Linked DNA regions of Callithrix jacchus. The protein of the gene in region 1 binds, or shares a complex with, the protein of each later gene. Links are inferred from orthologs where the notes say so. Each region holds a gene or a part of one and is shown on either strand. Other genes may lie near its edges. The genes, in order: TLR4 and LY96.

Region 1 (4,524 bases):
TTAAGCATGAAGCAATTGGGTGTGGAAGAATGAAAGTGTCCTTGAGTGAACCGGAGGCCTAGGCTCAGGTTTGTCACTTTCCTATTCTTTGGCCTATTGACAGATTTCCTCCATTGAACTTCAGCTTTCTCATCAATCATATGGAAAAAGTAATTATTTATTTGCTACTTCACTCAGCTAGTAATATATTTAAATATGACTATAGTTGTGTGAATATGTTTCAAGTTGTAAGGTATCGCACAAATTTAAGGCATTATAATTGGCATTAATTTCTCCTTATTCCACCCTTCATCCCTCTTAAACCCAGAGGGTTTAAAGGGCTACAAAGAGGCTATCTGAGACACGACTTTACTCTTTCTTCTCCTTCTGTTCTATGCATATAATTTACTTCCCTTCTTGTCCACTTCACCTGCCATTTCTAGAATTTCCATCGAGGAGAAGGAACTGACAGGAAGTAGGCCAATGTCAGCTTTGTATGTAGGAAATACTCCAAGTTGTATGTTGATCTTCCTTCTCAAAGCCCTGTATATTTGCTTGAATAAACACACATATACATAATTCATATTCAAATATGAATAGAACTGCACTTAAAAGTAGCACAGATATACACAAAATCACACATTTTCAAGCATACTAAGAAATTGATGCATACATCTATAGACAAACAATGATGTATGTATGTATGTTAGTTCCTTCGTTATCCACAGTTTCACTTTCCCAGGTTTCAGTTACTCATGGTCAGTCATGGTCTGAAAGTAGGTGAGTACAGTTCAATAAGACGTTTTGAGAGAGACAGCGAGAGAGAAAGAGATCACATTCGTGTAACATTTATTATAAAACGTTATTACAATTATTCAATTTATCATTAGTTGTTGTTAATCTCTTACTGTGCCTAATTCATAAAATGAACTTTACCTTAGGTATTTGTGTATAGGAAAAACTACTGCATATATGGGGTTTGGTACCATCTGGGATCTCAAAGATCCACTTGAAGTCTAAGAACATATCCACCAAGGATAAGGAATAAGGTGAGACTACTGTACAAGCACCACAAGAGTAGGGAACCCATCTTAAACAGCCTTAGACATCTACTTGAAATGCATCTATTCTTCAAAAGGTATAATCACACTCTCCTCTATACAGATATGATCATACAGACACACATACTTTCAAATACACACAACCCTGATAGGGACACACTGGTATATGTTGTTCAAAGGTATATGTTGTTCAAATGCATACATTCTCTTTCACTAGTACATGAGACATAGAAACACATCCAGGGATGTTCAACCACCCTAGACATGCTCAAACAAAACACAGTCTGACACACTCAGTAAAAAATCACACTTCTGAGTGTTCTCATAGTTGCAGTTTTGACAACTGAGTTTTGTTGTCTTTCCTTTTTTATAGTTTCATTCAGATATAGTTGATATTACAAAACTTCATATATTTAATATATTCAATTTGATGAGTTTAGACATAGTCATATACCTGTGAAACCATCACCATAATCAAGGTGATAAATATATCCATCACCTCCAAAAGTTTCCTTGTGTAATGGAAATATATACCAAATATATGGTAATATATACCATATATTACCAAAAGTACATATGGTAAATATACTTCATGCGATCTATCCTCTTAGAAAAATTTTAAGTGCATAATACAGTATTATGCATTATAGGAACTCTGCTATACAGCTGATCTTCAGGGCTAATTCATCTTGCATACTGTAATTTTATACCAATTAGACAACTCCCTATTTCTTCATTTCTCCCTTGCTCCTTTTCCCCAGGAACCACTGTTCTATTCACTGCTTCTTTGGGTTTGACTATTTTAGTATCTCATACAAGTGAAATCAGGCAGTATTTGTCTTTCTGTTACTTGCTTACTTTACATAGCATAATGACCTCCAGGTTTATCCATGATGTCATAAATGGCAGGATTCCCTCTTTTTTGTAGGCTGAATAAGATCCCATTATATGTATGTGCACATTTTCTTTGTCCATTTATTTTTCAATGGATATTTGGGTTGTTTCCATAACTTTGGAAACAGTGATTGTGAAAAGTGCTGCAATGAACATGGGAAGGTAAATATTTCCTTGAAATTTTGATTTCAATTATTTTGGGTATATACACAGAAGTGAGGTTGCTGGATCACAGAGTAGTTTTATTTTTAATTTTTTAGAAACCTCCATAGTGTTTTTCATAATGGGTACACCATTTTACATTCCCTCCAACAATGTAGAAGGGTTCCAATTTCTCTATATCCTTGATGACCCTTTATTTTTATAGCAGCCATTCTACCTGGTATAAGGTGATATCTCATTGCGGTTTTTATTTTCATTTTCCTGATGATGTCCTCATTGTCCTTTTCTTGAATATTCTGTTTCTGGGGAGGCTGGATGAACATTTTTTTCTGGGAACTCCCTTTATATGAATGAACCCCATTAATCTCAGACACATTGTTTTCTCAATGATAGCATCCACTCTTCCCAAAATGTGGTCAGGGAGCAGTGCCCAACAGGAAGCAGAAATGTATGTACTACCTGCATTGAATCCCTTCTCAAGTAGTTCCCCTGGCAGTGGGGAGGGTGCAGGGGAGGGATCCCAGCCCTCCATATCTCCCTGAAGAGATTCAGAGGTCCATTAAACATCAATTTTTCTGAAAAAAAAAATTTCTGCTGCAACTCATTTTATGGGGTCACCCCAAGTGTATAAGCCCATACGTTTCTGGAATCAAGAACAGGTGACCTCCTGAGGTCACCCCACTTCCTTTCTTGCCCAAATTGTCCATGATATGACCAGAAAGTGGACATTTTCTTTCCCTGTTTAAAAAAAGTACCCCCTTATAGAAATTATTTCAACACTGCTTTCATGACAGTCATAACTTAGGAGACAATAACTTTGAAATGATATTGAGTGACAAAGTGACAGAGTGTACTTTATATACTTCCTTAAAAAATGGTGGTTAAATAAATATGGATATTTAAAGCACATCCTGAACAACCTTATTTATGATATTGGCTTAAAGACATTAAAAAATAAGAACTGGAATATATTGTGTGTTTAAGTGGGGTATATTAAGTGTAGTTTTTAAAATTAATTAATTTATTTATTTATTTTTATTGCATTTTAGGTTTTGGTGTACATATGCAGAACATACAATGTTCCTTTAAATTAAAATTGTATTTGGAAGTTATGCTATTAATAATCTTCAGATTTTGACTTGTAATAATAAACTGTGGCTGGAAATCATGCTCTTAGAGACAAATAAAAATATGAAGTTACCTTAAAAAAAATAAGAACTGGACATATAAAAATAAAAATATATTAGGGGTTATTAGTTGAAAAACAGAGCAGTCTCAAGAATGATGAGGATGATTGTGAGCATGTGTTAATCAGGTCTCCTTAGGAATTAGCCACTAAGCTTTAACCTCTGTAAGGAAACTGATTTAAAATGGAAGGTGCATCTTGCATCACCAGCCCAATGAGTCATCAAGTAGAGTTTAAATTCAATGGAAAAGGAAAAAGTGAACACCCAGTTCAGTCAAAACTACCAAAATGGTTTTATGACGGCTATGACATAATATATAATGTAATTTCCATTCAAAAGACTCAGGAGAAGAACAATGCCTCTTTCTGCTTTCTCTGTCCTTATTCAACTTGATGAGGTAAGAGTTGAAATGACTTTCTCTGTCATGGGTTCCTTGGCTGACTTGGTTGAAATGCCCACCTGGAACGCTCTGTATTTTAGTGTAGCATTTATTCCCTCTGCACTGGAGGCACCATGAGATTAGCATCCCCATGTATCTTGTGAACCATGGAATTACTTGGCCTTAGCATAATGCCTGGCATGAGACAGCATTTAATACTTGTTAACTTAACAAGTGTTGGGCCCAGCTGGGCAAGAAATGCCTCAGAAGTTGGTTTTTGTTTTTTCCCTCTTCAGATAGTTATTGCTTCTTGCTAATTGCATCCTGCACCCACTGCTCCTTCTGGACTCCACGGTCTACCATTTAGCAGGGCTTTTCTGAGTCGTCTCCAGAAGATGTGCCTCCCCAGGACACTGTCCTCCCATTCCAGGTAAGTGTTCCTGCTGAGAAGGCGGTACAGCTCCACCTGCTGCCTGAGCAGGGACTTCTCCACCTTCTGCAGGACAATGAAGATGATACCAGCACGACTGCTCAGAAACTGCCAGGTCTGAGCAATCTCATATTCAAAGATACACCAGCGGCTCTGGATGAAGTGCTGGGATACCACAACAATCACCTTTCGGCTTTTATGGAAACCTTCATGGATGATGTTGGCAGCAATGGCCACACCAGGAATAAAGTCTCTGTAGTGAAGGCAGAGATGAAAGGGAGGCACCCCTTCTTCTAAATTCTTTACTAGTTCATTCCTTACCCAGTCCTCATCCTGGCTTGAGTAGATAACAAAGGCATCATAGGTGTTTTCACCTCTACCATACTTTATGCAGCCAGCAAGAAGCATCAGGTGAAAATAGAACTTATAGAC
Region 2 (4,369 bases), on another chromosome or scaffold:
ATTTCCTGCCTCAGCCTCCTGAGTAGCTGGGACTATAGGCGTGTGCCACCATACCTGGCTAATTTTTGTATATTTAGTAGAGACAGAGTTTCACCACATTGGCCAGTCTGGTCTTGAACTCCTGACTTCAAGTGATCCACCTGCCTTGGTCTCCCAAAATGCTGGAATTACAGGTATAAGCCACTGTGCCTGGCTGATAATTTGTTTTATAAAGCAGGAGTCCCCATTCCCTGGGGGTCATGGATCAGTACCTGTTAGGAATCTGACTGTGGTGTGTTAGGAACCAAGCTGCACAGCAGATGGTGAGCAGCAGGTGAGCAAGCATTACCACCTGAGCTCCAGTTCCTGTCAGATCAGCAGAGGCATTAGATTCCCATGGGAGCAGGAACCTTATTATGAAGTCTGCATGTGGGGGATCTAGGTTGCATGCTCCTTATGAGAATCTAATGCCTGATGATCTAAGGTGGAACAGTTTCACCCCGAAACCATTCCTCTGCATCTCCTCAGTCTGCGGAAAAATTGTCTTCTATGAAACTGGTCTCTGAGACCAAAATTGTTGGACCCTGCTGGTATACAGAGCTGTGGGAGAGAAGAGCAATGCAGAGGGAAAAGGAGCGCCTGTCTGTTGAGACTTTCAGGGGGACCTACGGACTGGTTTTGTTACTGTTGACTGAGAAGTGTCTTGTTTATTATTATTTTTTTAATTTAATTTTTTTTTTTTTTTTTGAGATGGAGTTTCACTGTTGTTACCCAGACTGGAGTGCAATGGCATGATCTCAGCTCACCACAACCTCCGCCTTCTGGGTTCAAGCAATTCTCCTGCCTCAGCCTCCCGAGTAGCTGGGACTACAGGTGTGCACCACCGTGCCCAGCTAATTTTTGTATTTTTAGTAGAGTCGGGGTTTTACCTTGTTGACCAGGATGGTCTCGATCTCTTCATCTTGTGATCCAACCACCTCAGCCTCCCAAAGTGCTGGGATTATAGGCATGAGCCACTGCGCCTGGCCAATTTAAAACATTTTTTAAGAAATGGAGTCTTGCTCTGTCGCCCAGGCTGGAGTGCAGTGGTGCCATCTTGGCTCAGTGCAACCTCCGCCTGTCAGGTTCACGTGATTTTCTTGCCTCAGCCTCCTGAGTAGCTGGGAATACAGGTGTGCGCCACCACACCTGGCTAATTTTTGTATTTTTAGTAGAGATGGAATTTCACCAGGTTAGCCAGGATGGTCTTGAACTCCTGACCTCAAGTGATCCATCTACCTCAGCCTCCCAAAATGCTGAGATTACAGGTGTGTGCCACCGCGTCTGGCCAAAGTGTCTTGTTTTCTTTTTAAAACTTTGATCACTCTCATTTACATTAAACTTTGGAAAAGAGTACATTCTGAATAGTTTTACTCTCTTACCTTGCAGAAAGTGCTCAAATGTTAAACACACACACACACACACAAAGAGGAAACAGTTGGACAGGAACTCAGAAATCACGTGACTGATGACTAAGTTAAATCTTTTCTGCTTACTGAAAAGGAAGAGTCTGATGATTACTGATCCTCTTGTATTTGTAAAGTTTTGAAGACCCTGAATCATGCTGCCATTTATAATTTTTTCCACCCTATTTTCTTCCATGTTTACTGAAGCTCAGAAGCAGCACTGGATCTGCAACTCCTCCGATGCAAGTATTTCATACACCTACTGTGGTAAGTAAAACATCAACAACAAATAATTGTAGCATCAACTATGTTGCGGCTACGTTTTCACAAGATCTTTACACTGTTGTGGCTGGAACACAGGAAATGCCAGTGTGTTCCAGCTGCTGTGGGCAGACGCTGCCAGCAGGAAAAGCAATCACTGGCAGCTGCCCCGTGAGAATCTTCTCGACACCTCCCAGAGCTCGCTGTGGTTGACCTTCAAATGCTTCTGTTGTTCCCTGCGTCATCTATCTCTATGCTGAGCCCAGTTTTGGGTTCTGCCCAGTTTCAGTAGAACCGTCTGCTTCTAAGCTTTCGCCTCAGCCTCAATCCGTACTAGTTCTTCCTGAGATGGTAGAGCAATCCCAGCTGCTTCCTGGAGTTGATTTCTGCTTCAAGTTGTGACTTTTGAGGGCTCTTAGAATCATCTCCCTAACGATGTAAGCCTGGTTCTGTCCTTAGCTGTGTGGCCTTAAGCAAAGTACTCCAGCTGTTTTAGCTCTAAAGCGAAAGTGATTTTGAGTCTACTTGATCAGGGTGTTGTGAGGTGAAGTTTTTTAGCATAGGGTCAACATGGAGTCAATACTACTAATTTCTTTTTTTTGAGTAAGCCATACCCTAATGCTATTCACTGGTTCTATGACTGTCTCCTGCCCCAGCTGCTCATTAGCAAACGTCCTCTGGTCTGAAGGCACAGTGTCAGGCCTGACAGCTGTTTTGGTTTGGTACTTTCCACTGCGCTGCCCTTTTCCACCCACTAGCAATATCTGGAAGGTTTAAAGTGATGCTTCCCAAAATACCAGTTCTTTGAGATTCTTTTGGGAAAATAGGATCTATGACCTAGTCATCCGTGAGAGATTTACAGATGTACTTTGAGTTCTGAGTTCTGCAATAAAGGCACTTGTTTAACCACAACATATTCAATTCCATTTGTTTTTTGTTTGTTTTTTAGTCTGGATTGTATGCTAACTGTCTTGAAATCATGCTCTAGCCAATGCTGATGTAAAGGGACTTTCGGGGAATTAGGATAATTATCACATATAAGGAGGAGACTTAGGAGTGCGGCCAGTCACACACCGTGGCCCTTCTCCTCCTGGTGGCTTGCACTGAATTCCCTCTCAATGTATCTCTAAAATCTCTCCATGCTACAAGATCTGTTTGCATTCCCCTCTTAGAGCAAGGCTCCTACTCTACACGGCCCCTACTTTCCTCTCCCTCTTTGGCCCTTTTGTACCATGTGTGGATTATGCCACTCTTTTTTTTTTTTTTTTGAGATGGAGTCTCACCCTGTCACTCAGGCTGGAGTGCAGTGGCGTGATCTCCGCTCACTGCAACCTCTGCCTCCAGGGTTCAAGTAATTCTCCTGACTCAGCCTTCTGAGAAGGTGGGACTACAGATATGTGCCACCGTGCCTGGCTAATTTTTGTACTTTCAGTTGAGTCAGCATTTCACCATGTTGGCCAGGCTGGCTCGAACTCCTGACCTTGTGATCTGCCCACCTCAGCCTCCCAAAGTGCTGGGATTATAGGCGTGACCCACTGTGCCTGGCTGGATTATGCCATTCTTTATATGGTCGTTATGGCTATAACATTTTGTATTATTATTTAGCTTTTAATCTTTCTTAACAATAACAATTTGTCTTTTTAAAAAATTTCACATTTTATCTTATTTATTATTGAGACAGGGTTTTGCTGTGTCATGCAGGCTGGAGCAAGTGGCTTGATCTCCACTCACTGCAACCTCCATCTCCCTGGCTCAAGCCATCCTCCCAGCTCAACCTTCCAAGTAGCTAAGGCTACAGGCACGTGCCACCACCCTTGGCTAATTATTAATTATTATTATTATTGTTACTTTTGAGTTTCACTCTTGTTGCCCAGGCTAGAGTGCAATGGCGCGATCTTGGCTCATCTCAACAACCACCTCCTTGGTTCAAGTGATTCTCTTGCCTCAGCTTCCCGAGTAGCTGAGATCATAGGTGCCTGCCACCACGTCTGGCTAATTTTTGTGTTTTTAGTAGAGATGGGGTTTTGCCATGTTGGCCAGGCTGGCCTCAAACTCCTGACCTTAGGTGATCTGCCTACCTTGGCCTCCCAAAGTGCTGGGATTACAGATGTGAGCCACTGCACCTGGCCTAAGATTTCACATTTTAATCATTTTTGAGTGTTTGACTCAATTGTATTAAGTATATTCAGATTGCTGTGAAACCACAACCACTGGTGTGTCTTTTGATTTAACTTTCTAATTTTTTTTTTTTTGAGACAGAGTCTCACTCTGTCAACTAGGCCGGAATGCAGTGGTATGATCTCAGCTCACTGCAACCTCTGCCTCCTGGGTTCAAGCAGTTCTCATGCCTCAACCTCCTGAATAGCTGGGATTACAGGCGTGCGCCACCATGCACGGCTAATTTGATTTGACTTACTGAAGGAAGAGCTTACCTCTTCCTCTCTGAGAAATCCTATCCTGCTACCCACTGACAAAAAGACTGTGGCAAGCCACTGGGGTACACATCTACAGCAAGATGCTGCTTGCTGCCATCCCCACTGCCATGTGACTGTCTTCTTGGCCTGAGAGAAACCATCCTGCACGGCCGAAAATGCATTACCTGTGGGAAGCACTGACTTTTCTAGGTACTATTGTGAAGGTGTTGGTGACAACAACCTCTAATTCACTGTAAGGATGATTTCCAT

What was found.
Region 2: the proteins of TLR4 (region 1) and LY96 are in contact, whole or in part, in a crystal structure (PDB 4G8A), measured with the Homo sapiens proteins. The link is inferred for Callithrix jacchus from reciprocal best matches to the Homo sapiens genes TLR4 and LY96. Residues at the interface, in NP_612564.1 of Homo sapiens: Gln39, Met41, Glu42, Asp60, Ser62, Phe63, Asp84, Ser86, Arg87, Thr110, Gly111, Val132, Val134, Glu135, Asn156, His159, Ser183, Ser184, Asp209, Leu212, Arg234, Val259, Glu262, Phe263, Arg264, Asn265, Glu266, Arg289, Ala291, Tyr292; in NP_056179.4 of Homo sapiens: Met40, Tyr42, Ile66, Pro67, Arg68, Arg96, Ser98, Asp99, Asp100, Asp101, Tyr102, Ser103, Phe104, Arg106, Leu108, Lys109, Gly110, Glu111, Thr112, Thr115, Thr116, Ile117.

The regions. Positions count from the first base shown.
Region 1 is NC_133502.1:166,094,176-166,098,699, reverse strand, and holds the end of TLR4 (toll-like receptor 4), read right to left. Parts: coding exon 3,976-4,524; 3' UTR 812-3,975; downstream 1-811.
Region 2 is NC_133517.1:52,224,770-52,229,138, reverse strand, and holds the start of LY96 (lymphocyte antigen 96), read left to right. Parts: upstream 1-1,493; 5' UTR 1,494-1,579; coding exon 1,580-1,691; intron 1,692-4,369. UniProt on the Homo sapiens protein: Binds bacterial lipopolysaccharide (LPS). Cooperates with TLR4 in the innate immune response to bacterial lipopolysaccharide (LPS), and with TLR2 in the response to cell wall components from Gram-positive and Gram-negative bacteria.